3 linked regions of the Anolis sagrei genome follow. The protein of the gene in region 1 purifies or fractionates together with the protein of each later gene. This does not show direct contact. Links are inferred from orthologs where the notes say so. Each region holds a gene or a part of one and is shown on either strand. Other genes may lie near its edges.

Region 1 (7,849 bases):
AACTCTTATGTATAAAGATGCCTGCTTTTTCCTTGTGCTTTACGCATGTACCCTTTGAACACCCGCTGTTGTACAAGTATCCCTTCTGCAGATTGAATAAAACTTCACTCTGGTGACATCCTGATTTCTGTCATGGAATATTAACAGTTAGAGGTGCTCAGTATCCATAGGTTCTTGGAAAACCTCAAGCTTTCAGCATCAGTGTCAAACTGCATTGTAGATACATCCATAGATGACAAGTCACCAGTAAAAACATTTAATGCAGAGGCTGTTCTGTGTTAAAAATATATTCTAGCAATCAGATTTAGCCCGGAAAAAGAGAAAAATGCAAGCTGATATGAAAGCAATTTACAAATATTTGAGGGACTGTGACATGTTTGAATGTGAAGGAATTATCCTTTGTACAGTATTGTGCTGCTCCTGAGATGAGGAGCCAAACCACTGGTTTCAAATTATAGGTAAGGAGATTCCAGATAAGAAGTTTGTAATAATACAGCTGTGAGACATTGGGCTCCCTTGGAAAGTGGTAAATTCTCCTTCGTTGAAAGTCTTTAAACAAGAGCCCGGTGGTTGCATGTCAATGTGATGCTTTCACTGTAGATTCCAGTGCTAGCAAGGCGATGGAGACAACTCTTGCGGCAACTTACTGTTGCAATCCAGAGCAGGGAACGAGGCCCTAAGATATCCACCACACTTGGCTGTGAAAAACAATCCTTTTTTATTGAAGAAAAATGGTTACAAAATAAAGGAAAAATGCAAGTCAAAAGCCACAGTAAAATCAGCAAACATGAATTTAAATGGACAAAGCAAAACCAAAAGCCTCACTGGGAAAATACTGGAATCTGTTAGCAATCCACTAACCGTACTTGATATCCTAGAAATCTTCCCAAACTATGACCAGGGAACCGGGAGAACTGCCAAGGTCTTCATCAATTCTGAAACGATGCCTGAACTGAGGCAATTAGCCTGGCGTATGGCAATTAAAACTCAAGAATTGGTTCCGTGAACCGCCCTTCTGTTTTGAAGCCAATGTTTTTAATTCTTGAATTCGGGAGGATCGACGCAAACTGAGTGTTTTACTTCTGTCTCCCCAAATTTGGCCCCTTCTGTTGTCATTACAGTTAACAGGTGCAGAAGGGAGGGAAAGTTCAAGGTCTCCCTCTGAAACATTCTCAGGAACACTGGTACTTTCATTTTCCAAACCTACAGCAGTTTCTTCCTCACTAATTTCAGGAGCATTGGCATCAAAAGGTACATTTCCACTAGCATCAGTAAATATACTTTCATTAGCATCAGGAGGAACAAACAGAGAATTAGGTTCAAGTTCAAACTCAGGCTGAACCCCAACACTTACAACTTTCATATTCTATATTTTTGTGTGAAGCTAATCTGGGAGAAGTCAGTAAATTTCAAAATTGTCTAACGAGATAATGGGGAAGTTGAACGGTATTGCTTCATAAGCCGTTGTGGTTGCAATTTTGTGTGTTCTCACTGAATTTAGACTTCTGAAAAAACAGCCATAGCATTTGGATGTAGATCATTAAGTAATTCTGGTGGCATAGTTCTGAGTCTTGGAGCCTTGTTTGTCTGCAAGAGCCTCCCTTGCTAGTGGTTGCTGAAAGAACATGTTTGGTTTACATAAATTATTCCTTACACAACACAGCATTCTCAGGCACTTCCTTCTTCTACTACTTTTTGGTTGAATGTAATAAATCAGTTAAGAACCTAGTCCCTGAGCTACAAAGAACCTAGCCCCTGAGGTAGGCGAATATGTTATTTTCAAAGGACTTCAACAATAATCCTGGCCAGTTCGAGGGCTTAAACTATTGCTGACCGATCAGACAAATATTCGTCATTTTAATCCTATAATTTTTTCTCTCCATTCATTGTTTCCCGCTTGACCCGCCTCCTCTCTTCCCATTGGCTGAGAGGCCAGAGCGACGCTGGCTCTCTGATTGGGCAAGGCGCAGCTGAGCTGGCCATGCCTCCCAGCCAGCGGAGGACTCCAACCAATCAGCGAAAAGCCAGCTAGGGGAGCGGGAGCAAGAACTTTGAACTTGACAGCTCTGTATTTCCTATAAAAACTGTGTTATTTTGCCTTGTGGCTCATGTCAGCTTCTGAGCAAAAGATTGCGGTTTGATATCTGTTCCAGCTGGAATGAAATAAACATCTCAGTGGCTTCTTCTTCAACTTAGTGAGATTTGGAAAAATAGGGAAAAATTTCTTTTGGGTGCTCTTGTCTCGCCAGGTGTCCAGATCCTCTTTGGTGGGTCTGGCTGGTCCTTGCCTCAGCAGGACCCCTTAAATTCAGGTTCGACATCACATGGAGGCACTCTGCCCAGGAGTTGTAAGGCAGCGGGGCCGAAGAGGTGTTGCTATGGCCCCACGCAGGTGTTACTATGGCCAGCAGTGGGCAGAATCCAAGAAGAGCATGGATGAGCTCTCTCTGTCAGCTCCAGCTCCCCATGCGGAGACATGAGAGAAGCCTCCCACAAGGATGGTAAAACATCAAAACATCTGGCCGTCCTCTGGGCAACGTCTCTGCTGACAGCCAATTCTTTCACATCAGAAGAGACTTGCAGTTTCTCAAGTCGCTTCTGACACTAAATAACAAGTGGATTACTTCAGGATGACTTTCTGAGCTGAAACTCGCTGCACTGAATGTCTTTGCTGAGGCACAGAATAAAGGTAAAGGTTTTCCCCTGACATTAAGTCCAGTCGAGTCCAACTCTGGGGGTTGGTGCTCATCTCCATTTCTAAGCCGAAGAGCCGGCGCTGTCCGTAGACACCTCCAAGATCATGTGGTCGGCATGACTACATGGAGCGCCATTACCTTTCTGCTGGAGCGGTACCTATTGATCTACTCGCATTTGCATGTTTTCGAACTGCTAGGTTGGCAGAAGCTGGGTCTGACAGCGGAAGCTCACACCGCTCCCCGAATTCGAACCTGCGACCTTTCGGTCAACAAGATCAGCAGCTCAGTGCTTTAACTCACTGCACCATCGGGGGGGGGGGTTCCTATATATATATATATATATATATAAATGGAGCCACATGACCTTGGATGTGTCTATATATATATGGAGCCCCTGGTGGCGCAGTGGATTAAAGCACTGAGCTGCTGAGCTTGTTGACCGAAAGGTCACAGGAACAACTGCTGTCAGACCCAACTTCTGCCAACTTAGCAATTCAAAAACATGGAAATGCGAGTAGATCAATAGGTACTGCTCCAGCAGAAAGGTAACAGCGCTCCAGGCAGTCATGCTGGCCACATGACCTTGGAGTTGTCTATGGACAACGCTGGCTCTTTGGCTTAGAAATTGAGATGAGCACCACATCCCAGAGTCAGACATGACTGGACTTCATATCAAGGGACAACCTTTACCATATATATATATATATATATATATATATATATATATATATATCTGAAAAACCACTGGATGAATTGACACCAAACTTGGACACAATGAAAAACACAGCAGAAGGGACTTTAAAAGCCAAACAAAAAACAAAACAAAAAACCAAAACGCAATATCACACATATATACACAAATATATATAGACACAAAATACATCTACACAGACCAAGCCACAGCAACGCGTGGCAGGGGACAGCTAGTGTGTGTGTGTGTGTGTGTGTGTGTGTATATATATATATATATATATATATGCACTGTCCTGGAGCGCCTGTTCCAGTGGCTCCAATTTTGTGTTTTGCACTGAGTTCATAGTCCTAAGTTGCAGGGACTTTGTATATAGGTGGCTTCCTTTGGCTGCATTCATAGGGCAAGCCACCTGTCAATTATAGTTAGGATCCCTGGTCCCGCCCCTCTCTGGGTTTTTTGGAGGGAAGGGGCCATCTTTCAGTTAGTCTCAGCAAAGGAAGTCAATGCAGAGGATGTATACAGACGTCCTCCTGTGCAAAGGCTTAGTCTGGGGGAGAACAGTCTTGAGAGCCTCTAAAGATTCCCAAAGGTTCCGGGGAAACAGCCTTACAGCCCTGAGGAATTCCGGAGGGAATTACAGCTCTAACCATCAAAGCAGCTAAGTCAGTGGTTCTCAACCTGTGGGTCCCCAGGTGTTTTGGCCTACAACTCCCAGGAATCCCAGCCAGTTTACCAGCTGTTAGGATTTCTGGGAGTTGAAGTCCAAAACATCTGGGGACCCCAGGTTGAGAACCACTGAGCTAAGTGATTACAGGCCTGTTGGTACGTCTACTTGGTTCTGAGACGCAGTTCAGCCGGTAGTGGATTCAAATCAGTTAGGTTTAGGTTCACAGCAGCCTGGGAGGAGCTAGAAAGGGGAATTTTCCTTTGAACAAGGTTTTTGAAGATAGTGCCTGTTCCCTGTGAACAAGATTGCAAGAGCTAAGAGACTGTTTAGAAAACTTTACAATTCTTGTTTGTTCATCAATAAAAGACTGTTATATTTAAGCTCAAGCCTCATAAAGACTGTTTAATAAGGGAAATTTCTCTAAAGGCTTCTTTTCGGGGGCCCTGGCTTCCCACTGGATCCAAGCCATACATCCTCTCTTAAAGGCACTTCATTTCAGGTCCAGTTGCGACAGAACACACACACACACTCACACATACATACACACCAACACTTTATATATTAAATGTTTGCGCGTGTAAAAACTGAAAAGAAAAAGAGCTCTCAGGGACTCCCAATTCCCCTTCACGCCCAGTGGCAGGAAGGTGCTGCCCAGCAATATAAATCTAGTTAGGGACGAGAAGGACGAGAAACGCTCCTTGACTTCCTATTGGGCGGGCGGCGGGGCTGAGGCTGAAGGGCAGCCAATCAGACAGCGCCACTGCTCCCGCCTCCCTCTCTGGCCCCGCCCCCAACTCGCCTCTCTTCCTCCAGTGGGATGAAAAGTTTCTGGCGGCCTCAGTGACTGGAAGGGGAGGGGGGAAAAAAAGAGGCGCAAGATGGCGGAAAATTTAAAAGGTGAGTGGAAACCGCCGCCGCCGCGCGCGCGCGCCGGGCCGGGCTAGCTTTGCGCGAGACCCCTCGTTTGGGAACCTGGGGTTCGGCGGGTGGAAGCCGAGAGCCAATGAGCGCTGCGGTCTGAGAGCGGCGCGAGGCGGAGGTTCGGCGGCGACCGTTACGGGGCGGGGAGCGCGCGAGGGAGGGAGTGAGGCGGCGCAGGACGTGGCAGAGAGCGGGAAAAAGGAAAGGCGGAAAGCGGATAGGGATAGGGAACCCTGAGGAGAGGGCAAGGGGAACGGGCAACCTTTGAGCGGGGCCACCTTGGCTGCGTTTCCCGCTCAGAGGATCCAATGTTGTTCCAAGTTCCTCACAGAGGCAGTTCATGTGCCTCCCTGTTCGACTCTATGCCTCTCCTCAGCAGACACGACGCTCCTGGAGACCCTTTTTGTGCCCTCTTCACATTTCCGCCCTCCTCATCTTTCCCCCTCTGGCGTGCTTTCCACCATGTGCGTCTATCCCTTAGGGTACTTCCACACAGCCCTATACTCCAGAATATCCAGGCAGAAAATCCCACAATATCTGCATTGAACTGGGTTATCTGAGTCCACACTGCCATATATTCCAGTTCAACGCAGATAATGTGGGATTTTCTGCCATGGATATAGGGCTGTGTGGAAGGGCCCTTACTCTGTATTGTCGAAGGCTTTCGTGGCTGGAATTACTGGGTTGTTGTAGGTCTTTCGGGCTATATGACCATGTTCTAGAAGCATTCTCTCCTGACGTTTCGCCTGAATCTATGGCAAGCATCCTCAGAGGTTTTGAGGATTCTTGCCATAGATGCAAGAGAAATGTCAGGAGAGAATGCTTCTAGAACATGGTTATATAGCCCGAAAAACCTACAACAACCCCTTACTATCCTCAGAGAGTAGGAGAACTCGTGGAACTCTTCAGGACAACCTTCTGACGTGAAACTCGCCTCACAATGATTTTGCTGAGGTACATAATAATAATAACAACAACTTTATTTATACCCCGCCACCATCTCCCCGAAGGGACTCGGCGTGGCTTACATGAGGCCAAGCCTGTCAAATACAAATACAACAATACATCGACAAACAAGCAAGCAAATAAAACAATATAAATAATACAGTTGAACATATAAGCAAAGCAATAACATGCAAAAGATTTAATGGCAGGGCCAGATGTAGATTAAAAGTTTAAAACCATGGGCGTGTACAGAGTAGGGTATGTCTAGGCATGGGGTTTTTAAAGTGTGATATGGGGGGATCAATCCAATGGATAAAGTGCTTCAGGGGACATATAGAAGGAAATTGGTCAGATAGGGCATTATTTCCTTTAATCAGGGAAGCCATGTTTTCAAGCTCCTCCTAAAGATAGCCAAAGTGGGGGCTTGCCTGATATCTTTAGGTAGAGAGTTCCAGAGTCGGGGCGGGGGGGGGGGGGGGGACACAAAATTTTGTTTGACCCACTCTTCTACGTCCAAGGGCCCTTCTACATATCTGTATAAAATCCCACATCTGTTTGGACTGGGTTATATGTCTGTTTGGACTCAGGGCCCTTCCACACAGCCATATAACCCAGAATATCAAGGCTGAAAATCTGCTTTGAACTGGATTATCTGAGCCCACACTGCCATATATTCCAGTTCAAAGCAGATAATGTGAAATTTTATTCAGCTGTGTGGAAGGGGCACAAGTCTGCAACAATAATAGCATATAAAACTTTGAAGGAGGGAAGATTGCTCCTGTTTCCAGGTTTGCAATCTAAAAACATTTTTAGCATTATAATTATTTCCCGGGATTCAGCAACAGGAGTGGAATAGAACTACTACATCACACTAGAGAATGAATCCACTTTGAATCTGTTTTCTGCCTCCAGCAGAATTCTGGGGTTTGTAGTTTAGGGAGGAAACTTTAACAGCCTCACTAAACTACAAACCCAAGAATTCTGCAGGAGGCAGAAACTGGATTTAAAGTGGATTCATTCACTAGTGTGATGAGGCCCCTAGTAGACATTGCCATTGACCAGTTCTTTGTTTGAGCCAATTGACCATGGTGGATCTTCCATCATTTATTAATGCTGACCATAGACAACCACACTGGTGGATCTTGAAGAACCACCAGAAATCTTGATTCCTCTTTCAAAGAGTAAAGAAGGGAATTGGCATCACCGGCAGTCCCCAATTTACAAACCACTCATAGTTAAGAATGGGGCTGAGACAACATGAAGTGACAGAAATCAACCCCCAAGGCCCTTCCACACAGGCATATAACTCAAAATATCAAGGCAGAAAATCCCACAATATCTGCTTTGACCTGTATTATCTGAGTCCACACTGCCATATATTCCAGTTCAAAGCAGATAATGTAGGATTTTATTCAGCTGTGTGGAAGGGGCCTCAGAAGGGAAACTGCATCCCGAAAGAGTTATCATGAGGACAAAGGTGTCTCAACTGAAGCTTCCTCACCAATCCTTGTAACCACAACAAGACACATTCTTCAAAAATTAATTACTTGCATATAATATTTTAAAGTCACCATGATCACAAATATCTGGAGTGGATAATGTTGTGGTGATGCCAAATCACAATGATACCTAACCTTTCACCCAGATCGTATTTAGTGCTGATCTTCAGCCGAGTGTTTTCAACTTTATTGGCTTGAAAAGAATGAAGATTTTGCAGGTGAAAGGCAAACTGTTTGAAACAAATTTCCTAAAGGCTTTGCTAGGTTTTCCAGCTGTGGTACACATAATTTCATTATATATATATTTTATTTTTGTGTCAGGAGTGACTTGAGAAACTGCAAGTCACTTCTTGTGTGAGATAATTGGCCATCCTTAAGGATGTTGCCCAGGGGACGCCGGGATGTTTGATGTTTTACCATCCTTGTG
Region 2 (7,025 bases), on another chromosome or scaffold:
TCCCTATGACTTCCTCTCATGTATTTATACATGGCTATCATGTCTCCTCTCAGCCGTCTCTTTTTCAGGCTAAACATGCCCAGCTCTTTAAGCCGCTCCTCGTAGGGCTTGTTATCCAGACCCTTGATCATTTGAGTCACCCTCCTCTGGACACATTCCAGCTTGTCAATATCTCTCTTCAATTGTGGTGCCCAGAATTGGACACAATATTCCAGGTGTTGGAATATTGTCATACAGCAGTTAAGGGGACACTTGCAGGAACGATGGGATGCAAAGGTCATTTCATATCTGGTATCTCCCAGATGTTTCCAAATAAACGGTCTCACCCGAATGCTGGCTTCTACGGAGACAGTAGTATTTATTTTTGTATGGAAACTATGATAATCGGTGTGAAGCCGAAGCATTCCTGGCACGGCGAAGAGCAGAGCATTTGGAGCCTTGAAATGAGACGAGATTCCCTCCGAATGCTGATTAATCCACCTGATTATAATCCCTGCAAAGCTCGCCTGCTGTTACCACTCGCATCGGAAACCCATTTTCTCTCGATGGGCAAAGGAAGGCCGTGATCGGCATAATTTGAGGCTTTATTTGATTTATTTCTCCCTCCGGCATTGAGAATCCCCTCCATCTTTCGCAAGGAGAGAGTTAATTGCCGCCTCGTCGTAACCCGTTGCTTGTTGTGTTGTTTGTCCCCTAAAGAGGCGGTGTTCGTCCGCTTCTCAAAAATTGAGCTGCAAGAACAACCAAAATGCATTCCATATTTGCCGAAAAGGTGGATATGGGATCCTTTTCTTGTTTTTCTATTTAAAGCTTTCGTTTGACCTCTGAATGAACAGCTGGCTCGTGATCTTTCCTTTTGCGTCAAATTACAAAATGGGATTTCCATGATTTGCCAGCCTTGCAGTCCAGGTCTTGTTTGAATCAATCCAGATTCTTCAAGAAGTGTTGCGTTTGGATACATGAGGATTTTCAGAGTGTTTCGTCTTATGTTCGTTACAAGAACACAAGACTGGGATTGTGGCGCAGCTGACTGGGAGTCAAGATCAGGAGTTCAAAGCCAGCCCGGGTCGGAGTGAGTGTCTGACCAATTGTGTAGCTTGCTGTCAACCTTTGCAGCCCGAAAGACATTTGCATCTGTCAAGTAGGAAATTTAGGTACCGCCTATGCAGGGTGGTTAATTTAACTAATTTATGATGCCATAAAAATCTCCAGCAAGCATGCAAAGAATGAGGAAGTACTTCATCAGTGTCACAAATGGACGGTGAAGCAACAGCTCCCCTGGTGGCCAGAATACCCTCATGAAAAGTTAATCTGTTAAGTAGGAAATTTAGGTACCACCTATGCGGGGAGATTAATGTAACTAATTTATGATGCCATAAAAATCTCCAGCAAGCATGCAAAGAATGAGGAAGTACTTCATCAGTGTCACAAATGGACGGTGAAGCAACAGCTCCCCTGGTGGCCAGAATACCCTCATGAAAAGTTAAATTGCCTCTGTGTCTGTCTATATATGTTGTGTGTCTATGGCAAGGCTCCACAAAATTTTTATACAGAGGGCCAGGTCATAGTCCCTCAAACCGTTGGAGGGCCGGATTATAATTTGAAAAAAAAAAAACATGAATGAATTCCTATGCACACTGCACATATCTTATTTGTAGTGCAAAAAAACACTTTAGAACAATACAATAATTAAAATGAAGAACAATTTTAACAAATATAAACTTATTAGTATCTCAATGGGAAGTGTGGGCCTGTTTTTTGCTGATGAGATAGGATTGTTGTTGTTGTTATTATTATTATAGGATATCATGAATAAACAATGTCAAAAATACTGACAATATTATTAATATTTATTAATTTATTTACTCACCCCTGGGGGTCTCAACATTAAATGGCGTACATACATGTGAAAACTAAAACCTAATTTCTAAGTAATAACATATAACTATAAATTACGAACCTTAGCCATCTTAAAACAACATCATTTAGACGTTACAACAGAACAATTGGATTGAAATTGAATATTAATATCAATTATCTCATAGAACATATGAAATAGGAAAAATATATAATGATTAATGTCATTATTTTTAAAATACACCCTTGAAAGAAAATGATTATTCAATCAATTTCTCTATTAAGTACATTATACTTTTACTACTCTATTATTTTAAAATATATTAATATTAATGCATTATAGAAATATTATTAATTATACACAACATAATGTTAACCAATATATTAATTATACCATCATTTGATTAAAAATACAATGTTAATATATTATATTTGTATTATAATAGCAATATTATTTTATAATATTTATATCAATTATATATATATATATATATATATATATATATATATATATTGAACCAGTTTTCATTTTAAAAAGATAATATATTTCTATTAAATTACTTTATAATATCAATTATTACATCATTTATATATATTCATCAGACCATTAATTCATTTCAAAGTATGTTAATATATCATGTCGATTATATTACTGATTATATTATATAATATTAATTACATAGAAAGATATGTAATATATATTAATATAATTATATATTAGTTATGTATAGTAACATATTAATTATAGCATTTTATATATAATATATATAATAGTATTGTTGTTGTTGTTCGTTCGTTCAGTCGTCTCCGACTCTTCGTGACCTCATGGACGAGTCCACGCCAGAGCTCCCTGTCGGCCGTCACCACCCCCAGCTCCTTCAAGGTCAGTCCAGTCCCTTCAAGGATGCCATCCATCCATCTTGCCCTTGGTCGGCCCCTCTTCCTTTTGCCTTCCACTTTCCCCAGCATAATTGTCTTCTCTAGGCTTTGCTGTCTCCTCATGATGTGGCCAAAGGACTTCAACTTTGTCTCTAGTCTCCTTCCCTCCAGTGAGCAGTCGGGCTTTATTTCCTGGAGGGTGGACTGGTTGGATCTTCTCGCAGTCCAAGGCACTCTCAGAACTTTCCTCCAACACCACAGCTCAAAAGCATCGATCTTCCTTCGCTCAGCCTTCCCTAAGGTCCAGCTCTCACATCCGTAGGTGACTACAGGGAATATAAATTAATATACATAATTATATATATAAATTAAACCAGTTTTCATTTTAAAAATGCGAATATATTTCTATTAAATTATTTTATAATATCAATTATTACATCATTTATATATATTCATCAGACCATTAATTCATTTCAAAGTATGTTAATATATCATGTCGATTATATTAATAATAATATATAATATTATATTAATTACATAGAAAGATATGTAATATATATGTATATTAATATATAATTATATATTAGTTAAGTATATTAACATATTAATTATAGCATTTTTATATATATAATATATATAATAGTGTTATTATATAATATATATAATAGTGTTATTATATAATATTATAATATTAATGACATAGAAAGTTAGTAATATATATATGAATTAATATATAATTATACATTAGTTGTGTATATTATTACATTAATTACAGGATTATTTTATATATTAATATATATATATATATAAATTAAAACATAAGTCTTTATATTAATCATATACATTAATACATTAATGATAGCATTATTATATTAACTGTACATTAATATATAGATCTCTATATATTAATATAAAATTATATATATTTATGTTAAAAATAAAATTATATATAATTATATATAATATATATAATTTAACATATAAAATTATATATAGTTATGTTTATATATATATTATATACAATAATATATATATATATATATATGTATATATATATAAATACCATTATTTCATTATTTCATTTTCTCTTTTTCCTCTTGCTTTTTGCAACTCCGCCATGTTGTACGGAAAAAGCCCCTTCCCACCCACTAGGCGCCGCCATGACAGCGTGCGTGGGCTCACTTCCGGACAGCGCGCGCCGGCTCCCCGCTGGCCAATGAATGGCCGGGAAGGCGGGGCCAAGAGGGAGGGCCGCGCGCACAGGAGGCTTCGAAAAAGGGGGCGGGGCTTGCGCTCCGAGGCTGCCCGGGCCATGGCTACAGTGGAGTCGAAGGTGAGTGCAAAGCGCCGGCCGCATCCACTTCTCTTCAGGCGCGGGGGGAGGCGGGGATGGCCACTAAGCGAAAGCTGGGATTGAAATACAACGGGCTGCGAATTGGTATCTCCCAAAATGAAGCGCCTTCCACCCGAACTCTGCCGTTGCTCCTCCCCGCTCCCCCTCTGGCCTTCATGGTTCAGCCCATCCTCTATGAGGAAAGGCTGACGCTGGGCCGCTCCCATTGTGTGGAGAGGGGGAGGAGGGTTTAAATCAGAGCAACCCGGAACCCTGCATAACCAAAACAGAGTTATTCCCCGCCATTCCACAAACGCATGAAAGCCATGCTGATTCCGGGGTTCGCTGTATTGCTATGGTTATGCAGAGTCCCGGGTGGAGATGGCGGCTCCCCAAGCTCTCTTGGCGCATTGCCATGCTCGGTACGGGGCCTGGGCGGAGGGGGCGTGGCCAGTCAAACAAGCAGGGAGGGCAGATGGAAATAGTCCTGAATATTATTCAGAGTGCGGGGCCCCGCCGTCCTTATGGGCCATTCAGCTTGCGGGCCTCTCAGAGTTCCTTTTATGAGAGTTCATTCATTTTTTGCTGTTTCCAGAAGGCTGGTTGAGTTACTCAATTGGGAGGAATCTTCAATTTAACTATCTAATGATCTATAGATAGATCAATTCCACCCAAACCCCTCCAGGAAAAACATTTCATCATATCAGGTATTTGTGCCAAGTTTGGTCTAGATTTATCTTTGTTTGGGTTCACAGTGTTATCTGGATTTAGGTGAACTACAACTCCCCCAAATCAAGGTGAATTTTCCTCAAAGATCTCCAGTATTTTTTGCTGGTCATGGAGGCCCTGTGTGCCAAGTTTAGTCCAATTCTATCTTTGGTGGAGTTCAATGTGCTCATTGATTGCAGATGAACTATAAATCCCAGTACCTGCAACTCCATAATGTCCATGCCAATTCCCCTCCAAACTAACCAGTATTCGAATTTGGGCACATCGGGTATGCACGCCAAGTTTGGTCCAGATCCATCATTGTTTGCCAATTCTATCTTTGGTGGAGTTCAGTGTGCTCATTGATTGCAGATGAACTATAAATCCCAGTACCTGCAACTCCAGAATGTCCAGGCCAATTCCCCTCCAAACTAACCAGTATTCGAATTTGGGCACATCGGGTATGCACACCTAGTTTGGTCCAGATCCATCATCGTTTGGGTTCATAGTGGATATATTATTATTATTATTATTATTATAGTGGATATAGGTGAACTACAACTCCCCCAAATCAAGGTGAATTTTCCTCAAAGATCTCCAATATTTTTTGCTGGCCATGAGGGTCTCTGTGTGCCAAGTTTAGTCCAATTCTATCTTTGGTGGAGTTCAGTGTGGTCATTGATTGCAGATGAACTATAAATCCCAGTACCTGCAACTCCATAATGTCCATGCCAATTCCCCTCCAAACTAACCAGTATTCGAATTTGGGCACATCGGGTATGCATGCCAAGTTTGGTCCAGATCCATCATTGTTTGGGTTCATAGTAGATATTATTATTATTATTATTATTATTATTATTATTATTGTGGATATAGGAGGACTACAACTCCCCCAAATCAAGGTGAATTTTCCTCAAAGATCTCCAGTATTTTTTGCTGGTCACGGGGGCCCTGTGTGCCAAGTTTGGTCCAATTCTATCTTTGGTGGCGTTCAGTGTGCTCATTGATTGCAGATGAACTATAAATCCCAGTACCTGCAACTCCAGAATGTCCAGGCCAATTCCCCTCCAAACTAACCAGTATTCTAATTTGGGCACATTGGGTATGCACGTCAAGTTTGGTCCAGATCCATCATGGTTTGGGTTCATAGTGGATATATTATTATTATTATTATTATTATTATTATTATTATTGTGGATATAGGTGGACTACAACTCCTCTAAATCCCTCCAAAGACCTCTAGTATTTGTTGTTGGTCATGAGGGTTCTGTGTGTCAAGTTAGTTCCATTGGTGGAGTTCAGAGTGCAGTTCTTGGATTGCAGGTGAACTATACATCCCAGTACCTGCAACTCCAAAATGCCCAGGCCAATTCCCCTCCAAAATTAACCAGTATTCAAATTTGGGCACATCGGGTATGCACGCCAAGTTTGGTCCAGATCCATCATTGTTTGGGTTCATAGTGGATATATTATTATTATTACTATTATTATTCTTATTATTATTATTGTGGATATGGGTGGACTACAACTCCTCTAAATCCCTCCAAAGACCTCTAGTATTTGTTGTTGGTCATGAGGGTTCTGTGTGCCAAGTTAGTTCCAGGTCCATCATTGGTGGAGTTCAGAGTGCGGTTCTTAGATTGCAGTGACTACACCTCGTAGAAATCATGGTGAATTCTCCCCAAACCTCTCTAGTATGCTCAGTTGCTGATCAGTTCCTCTGTTTTCTGTGTGCTATAGAAAATAATAGGAAAAGGTTAAGGGAGAGGCAGTGGGCGAGGTCATGCAAATTCCACATCAATGGAGAGAGTCAGAAACACTGGGATGTCTGTGGTGGAGGAAACACATAAAATTTAGGATGGATTTGTCTCCTAATGAAAGCCTTCAATTGGGTGGTAGACAATGTTGTGTTTGTGGAGGACACTGGCCGGGCTCTTGAACATGTTTACAATAGCCCGTCCCCGCTTTTGTCGTTTACCTATTACAGTACCGTACCCAAATGCCGGTCCTATCTTATTTCGATTTGTATCAGTCCTGACCCAGCCTTTTTAATTGTCTTGACCCATTCCTTTCCCATGCCCTAACAAATAGACATAAAGAGCAGGCAGGATTTTTTCTTTTAATATTTATGTGTTGTTGGGTAATTTCATGTTACTGTTATTTTTTGTTTATGTTGTGACTCTGTTTGTTTTGATGTTGTTGCTTGGAACCTGCCCTGAGTCCCCCCGGGGATATAGAGCTGTATATA
Region 3 (6,938 bases), on another chromosome or scaffold:
CTTTCTCCCGCTCCCACCCCCCAAAATCCGCCCCAATTGCGGTCCTTTCCTCCCCTTCTTCCTGCCGCCCCGTTGCCAACTGCGAAGCAAAGGAAGGAGAAAAGACTGCCACGGAAAATGGAGTGGACACCGGGGCAGGTTTTCCAGAAAGTGGGGGTGGTCCGGCGCTTTTGGAAAAGGGAGGAAGAGCAGAAAGGAGAAAGAAAGGCGTTTCGGAAGCGAGGGAAAGAAACGGCTCTGAGCCGCCGCCGTAAATAAAACTCAGCGCCCGAAGTCAAAGCCTGGCTCGGGTGGCAGCGCTCCAAAGGGCCCACTTTCCACGCGAGATTCTCTCCCGCTCCCGCTCCTTCCAAAAAGCGCGCACCGGGAGAAAGAAGCCGAGAAAGAAGCCTGTGCCGGAGGAGGAGGAGGAACGAGGGGAGAGGGATCCACGCTCTCCAGGCAGGCACCCAGGAGGAGGAACACGCGCGAAAAGAAACCCGTTCGGCCAAGGAAACCCTCCGAAGGAGCCTGGCTCTCTTTCTCCCAGCGGGAGCACTTCTTGGGGGAACAAGGGCCAGCGACACGCGGTTCCCTGGCAAGCGTGGGAAGCAACGGGCCCGGAAAGACACGCAGCCATGGGTCCGGGAGGTTTGGAGAAAGTGGGAGGTGGAGGTGGAGGACGCCGAAGGAAAGGAAGGAAGGAAGGAAGGCGCAAAAGCGGGGGAAAGAGAAAGAGGATATTGATAGGTAGATAGATAGATAGATAGATAGATAGAGATAGGAAAATAGAGAGATAGGAAGATAGGTAGGTAGGAAGAGAGAGAGAAAGAAAAGTAGGAAGATAGGTATAGAGAGAGGAAGATAGAATATAGGTAGCTAGGAAGATAGATAGAAAGAGAGAGAGATAGGAAGATAGGTAGGTAGGTAGATAGATAGATAGATAGATAGATAGATAGATAGATAGATAGATAGATAGATAGATACACAGGAAGATAGGTAGGTAGGTAGGTAGGTAGACAGGAAGATAGGAAGGAAGGAAGATAGAGAGGGATATAGGAAGATAGGTAGGAAGATAAGTAGATAGATAAGAAGATAGATAGAAGATAGGTAGCTAGGAAGATATATAGATAGGAAGAGAGATAGGAAGACAGGTAGGCAGATAGGTAGGTAGGTAGGTAGGAAGGAAAATAGAGAGACAGGAAAATAGGTAGGAAGATAGGTAGATAGATAGGTAGATGATAGGTAGCTAGGAAGATAGGGAAGAGAGAGAGGAAAATAGGTAGGTAGAAAGATTGGTAGGAAGATAGATAGGTAGGAAGATAGAGAGATAGGAAGATAAGTAGGAAGATCGGTAGGTAGGTAGATAGATAGGAAGATAAATAGAAGATAGGTAGGAAAATAGGAAGAGAGAGGTATGAAGGTAGATAGGTAGGTAGGTAGGTAGGAAGATAGATAGGAAGAGAGAGAGAAAGATAGATAGGAAGGTAGGTAGGTAGGAAGATAGATAGGAAGACAGATTGGTAGATAGGTAGGAAGAGAGAGAGAGATAGGAAGATAGACAGAATAGTAGGTAAGAAGATATGTAGGTAGGAAGATTGATAGATAGATAGGAAGATAAATAGGAAGAGAGGTAGGTAGACAGATGATCTAGAAAGGAAGAGAGATGATAGAGGAGAGCCTCAGGTGGGCAAGGAGAGAGAGAGGATCACTTCTAGGGAATCAGAGGTCTTCTTTTCCTCTATAACTGACACACACCCCCACAAGCCTCGTCCTCCCACTCATAGAAAAGGTCTGCTATTTGGGGGAGATGACCCCTGACCTTTGGGCTGCTCCTGCAACTTTTCAAGCCCCCCTCCCCTTCCGCGGCCTCGCGTGGCGGGGCCCTTTTTGCACGTGGGAAGGAACAGAAAGGAAAAAACAGGGACCAGAGGGACCAGGCAAAGTTCCTGGACTTGATGCGGGGAAAAAGAGGGGAGGTCCTTCGGGGGTGGGCAGAGGCGTGGAGGGGAGGCATGCCCACAACCCCCCCCCCCAAGGGACCCCCAAAGACAGGGAACAACACAAGGAGAAGAGGGGGAAGCATCATGGGGGGGGGGGGGAGAGAAGCTGAGCTCTTATCCGCTGCAGCGTTAGCAGTCCTTCCTCTTCTTCCTCCTCCTCCTTCAAGACCTGCTTGAAGCGCGCCCCCGCCTCCTTCCCTCCCTCCCTCCCTCCCTCCCTCCCTCCGCGCTGCAGGTTGTTGTGCCCCGTGCGCGCTCCCGCTGCCCTCGCCTCTGGCTGAAACCAAGCCCGCAGCGCCCACTAGAGGCAGGCGGCGCCTCTGCACCCTTCTCCCTTTTTCTTCCCTCCAGCAGTTCTTTCCTCCCAACTTGCCACCCGGCTCTCTGAACTTTTGCTCAACTCTTTACTCCGGTGCGGTTGCTGAAGTTCAGCTGCGATCTTCTCCCCTCTAATCAGAAACCCCACGCAGGACAGGGAAGCCAAGGAGCCTTTCAAACGCAAGGAAAGACTGCCCTTAGCCGAGCAAAGAAAATGGACCGGGGGGAAAAAGAGCGGCGTTTGTTGTTGTTGTCCCGCCACCCGAAGAGTGGATGGAGGCTTTGCAAAGAGGGCCAGGGAGGGGTCTTAAAGGGTTGTGTGTGTGTGCAGAAGGGTCTCCCCCCTCCCTGCCCTTCCTCCCTCCTTCCAGACCCTCTCAACCCACTCCCCCCCCCAAGCCCTCCCCAACCCCGGGATGCCGCCAGCGAGAAAAGCGCGCTTTTGCACCTACTTGTGGCCAGTTTCCTCGCCCTGGCTTTGGATCGCATTGCTGCCCAGTCCGGTGGAGGTTGCTTGGAGGGAGGGAGGGGGCCAAACCGGAGAGGGAGGGGGGAGGAAGAAGAAGATGACCGGTGAGCCCCCCTCCTCTCTTTTCCCCCTCCTTCTCCTCCCTCTTGCTCTTTCTCTCTCTCTTTTTCTCCCTCTTTCTTTCGCCCTCCTCCACAAGCCACTCTTTCCTGCAACAGCCCCAAAGCTCGCTATCTCTCCAGCATTGTCAGTTTGGACACCTTCGCACATGCGCAACAGCGGCTTCTCTCTCTCTCCCCCCTTCCCTCTCCCTCCCCCCCCCCCCCCCTTTCGACAATCTCCTTTTCGCCGCCAAAAAAAAAAGTTTGGAGAGATCTTTCACTTTGGGATTTTAAAGGGAGGGAAGATTCTCCCAAAGCCTAAAGGGAAGCTTCCTCCCTTCCTTTGCCCAGAGAAAGTTGGAAGGACTCCGCTGTGTAGATGCCCCGCTTTCGAACCGCGTTAGAAACCGGGCAAGGCGTGAATGATGCCTGGATGCCAACTTCCTGCCTTTCCTTGCTTCTTGTTTGCTTTTTTGAGTCTTTTCCTTCCCGTCCGATCCAGCCTTTTTCAGTCAACACACTTTTATTTTATTTTATTTTATTATTATTTATTTTATTTTTATATTATTATATTATATTATATTATATTATATTATATTATATTATATTATATATTTTATTTTATTATTATTTTATTTTATATTTTATTATTTTATTATTTTATTATATTATTTTACTTTATTATTATTTATTTTATTATTATATTATATTATATTATATTATATTATATTATATTATATTATATTATATTATATTATATTATATTTGGTGCAGCCCAGATCCTAGACCTGGAAACCTCCCTTCTCTAAAGCTGGATCTTTGGACTTCAAATCCCACCCTCCAGATGCTTTGGACTTTAACTCCCATCATTCCTAACAGCCTCAGGCCCTTTCCTTTTCAGGAAGGGGCCTGTGGCTGTTAGGAATGATGGGAGTTGAAGTCCAAAGCACCTGAAAGGCCCAAGTTGTCCCATGCCCATATTATGCACCATATAGCTATGTAGCTCCTTACCTAGTTAGGTTCCTCCACTCTGCAGAATTAATCCAGTTTGACCTCACTTTCGCTGTGCTATGGAATAAAGAGTTGCAGTCTAGTGAGGTATCAGCACTCGTTGGCATAAAAGACTGGAAAACTACAACTCCCATCCTCCCCTAGCACTAAGGCAAAGTACTTACTGAGTCATGTTAAATTGCATCCATTCTACAGTGTAGGTGCGCCCTCAGCTTGTTTGTTTGGTGGTCTTTTTTTCTTCTCGTGGGAAAAAACACCCGTGGGTAGTTTTCTCGTCCTCTCCTACTTCCTAAGTCAGGTTAAACTGCATCCATTCTAAAGTGTAGGTGCGCCATCAGCTTGCTTGTTCGATGGGCTTTTTTCCACGCATGGGAAAAAAACACCAGTGGGTAGATGACAACAATTCCCGTCCTCTCCTAGCATTGAGGCAGGGCACTTGCTAAGTCATATTAAACTGCATCCATTCTACAGTGTAGATGCACCATCAGCTTGCTTGTTCGATGGGCTTTTTTCTACGCATTGAAAAAAAAAACACTCGTGGGTAGGTGACAACAACTCCCGTCCTCTCCTAGCATTAAGGCAAAGTCATATTAAACTGCATCTATTCTACAATGTAGATGCGCCCTCGAGATATTTATTTTCCTTCGCGTGGAAAAAAAACCCACTCGTGGGTAGACTACAACTACTCCCGTCCTCTCCTAGCATTGAGGCAGGGCACTTGCTAAGTAATGGTAAACTGCACCCATTCTACCCATTCTACAGTGTAGATGCGGCCACAGCTTGTTTGTTTGGCGGTCGTTTTTTTTCTTCTCGTAAGAAAAAAACACCCGTGGGTAGATGACAACAACTCCTGCCCTCCCCTAGCATTGAGGCAGGGCACTTGCTAAGTCATCTTAAACTGCATCCATTCTACAGAGTAGATGCGGCCACAGCTTGTTGGTTTGGTGGTCTTTTTTCTTCGCGTGGGGAAAAAAACACCGGTGGGTAGACGACAACAACTCCCGTCCTCCCTCCCATCAGAGAGAGCTGATGATGTGGAAAGAAGGGACAAATAGTTTCGCCTATGCTTGTCGATTTTGTTTGTTTGTTTGGTCTCCTTCCCTTTGCGTGGAAAAAAACACTCGTGGGTAAATGACAACATTGTTTCTTCTAAGGGAAATTGGGTTTTGGGTTCTCTCCTTTCCTATGAGGCAGAGAGAGGGGTGATGTGGAGAGAAGGGAAAAAGGGGTTCAGCTCAGCTTGTTATTAAGGATGTTTGTTTGTTTTATTTCCTTCACGCGTGGGTAGATAAGAGAATTGTTTCTTCTAGGGGAAAATTGGTTTTGGGGTCTCCCCTTTCCTAGGAGGCAGAGGGAGGGGTGATGCGAAGGGAAGAGGAGGTTCCAGTTTTACACCGTGTCAGGAGCGACTTGAGAAACTGCAAGTTGCTTCTGGCGTGAGAGAATTGGCCGTCTATAGGGACGTTACCCGAGGAATGTGTTACCATCCTTTGGGAAGCTTCCAATTGCTCCACCTGGGGCTCCAATGGGTTTAGGCATATGGCATTAATATTATAATACTCTGAAAAAGCTATACAGTCGTTCAATACACATAAACAAGGTACCGAGGTTACAATGGAAAAACCTACTTAATTTGAGAATTGACGGGAAGTCTTTCTACTAAAAATATATCGAATTATTGGTATTGCCTCCCTTTTTCTCTGTCCTTTTCTACCCTCTATGACACAGTAATGAAAGAAAAGAGTTTCCCATCCGTTTGAATGGCCGAGGAGGGCTTCTTCTTTGAGGCAGGAATCCAACCCGAAGGAAAATAGTATGTATTTCGCTTCCGAACAGCCTCTTCGCCCTCCATGGTTTTGCTCAGCCCACGCTAAGATTAATGCCCTCAATAAGATCGTTTGCAAAAGCCTCACGAAAGGAGATGACCATATGGTCAATGCAGAGCAATACAGTTTGATACCGCTTTAATTGCCAAGGTGTAGAATCCTGGCATTTGTAGTTTGATAGGACAGAAGTGATCCAGTTCCAGAAGTCAATGTACAGCAGCTGTTTCTTGGTCTCAGGCTGGATCTACACCGCCATTTAGTCTACTTTCCGAATCCGGATTATATGCGTCTACGCTGTTGTATAATCCGGTTCAAATCAGATAATCTGGATCCATAAGGCTTTGGGAAGAAGTGACCTCGTCCCAGAAGTGAATGCACAGCAACTGTTTCTTGGGCTCAGGCTGGATCTACACCGCCATGTAGTCCGGTTTCTGAACCCGGATTATCTGACTTGATTATATGAGTCTACACTGCCGCGTAATCCGGTTCGAAGCAGATAATCTGGATCCAGCACGCTTTGGGAAGAAGTGACCTACTTCCAGAAGTGAATGTACAGCAACTGTTTATTGGGCTCATGCTGGATCTACACCCTATTTAATCCACTTTCTGAATACGGATTATCTGCCTTGAACCGGATTATATGAGTCTACACTGCCGTATAATCCGGTTCGAAGCAGATAGCCTGGATCCAGAACGCTTTGGGCAGAAATGACTTAGCTCCAGAAGTGAATGTACAGCAACTGTTTATTGGGTTCAGGCTGGACCTACACCGCCATGTAGTCCGGTTTTTGAATCCGGATTGTCTGCCTCGAACCGGATTATATGAGTCTACACCGCCGTATAATCCGGTTCAAAGCAGATAATCTGGATCCTGGGCGCTTTGTGCAGAAGTGACCCCTTTCCAGAAACCAATGTACAGCAATTGTTTCTTGGGCTCAGGCTAGATCTACACCGCCATGTAGTCCGGTTTCTGAATCTACACTGCCATGTAGTCCGGTTTCTGAACCGAATTATCTGCCATGAACCTGATTATATGCGTCTACACTGTTGTATAATCCGGTTCAAAGCAGGGTCCAGAAGTGAACGTAGAGCAACTGTTTCTTGGGCTCAGGCTGGATCTACACCGCCATGTAGTCCGGTTTCTGAATCCGGATTGTCTGTCTTCAACCAGACTACATGGCGGTATAGCTCCAACCTGAGTACAAGAAATAGTTGCTGTACGTTCACTTCT

What was found. Proteins that work in one complex are often made in the same cells at the same time.
Region 2: the proteins of SUV39H1 (region 1) and EHMT1 purify together in Homo sapiens (co-immunoprecipitation; 3 studies listed by BioGRID and IntAct, with this or other methods). This does not show direct contact. The link is inferred for Anolis sagrei from reciprocal best matches to the Homo sapiens genes SUV39H1 and EHMT1.
Region 3: the proteins of SUV39H1 (region 1) and MECOM purify together in Homo sapiens (affinity purification with western blotting; 3 studies listed by BioGRID). This does not show direct contact. The link is inferred for Anolis sagrei from reciprocal best matches to the Homo sapiens genes SUV39H1 and MECOM.

Annotation. Positions count from the first base shown.
Region 1 is NC_090022.1:194,074,870-194,082,718, forward strand, and holds the start of SUV39H1 (histone-lysine N-methyltransferase SUV39H1), read left to right. Parts: upstream 1-4,848; 5' UTR 4,849-4,935; coding exon 4,936-4,954; intron 4,955-7,849. UniProt on the Homo sapiens protein: Histone methyltransferase that specifically trimethylates 'Lys-9' of histone H3 using monomethylated H3 'Lys-9' as substrate. Also weakly methylates histone H1 (in vitro).
Region 2 is NC_090031.1:9,330,034-9,337,058, forward strand, and holds the start of EHMT1 (histone-lysine N-methyltransferase EHMT1), read left to right. Parts: upstream 1-4,002; 5' UTR 4,003-4,048; coding exon 4,049-4,069; intron 4,070-7,025. UniProt on the Homo sapiens protein: Histone methyltransferase that specifically mono- and dimethylates 'Lys-9' of histone H3 (H3K9me1 and H3K9me2, respectively) in euchromatin.
Region 3 is NC_090023.1:251,574,867-251,581,804, forward strand, and holds the start of MECOM (histone-lysine N-methyltransferase MECOM), read right to left. Parts: upstream 3,024-6,938; 5' UTR 2,790-3,023; coding exon 2,753-2,789; intron 1-2,752.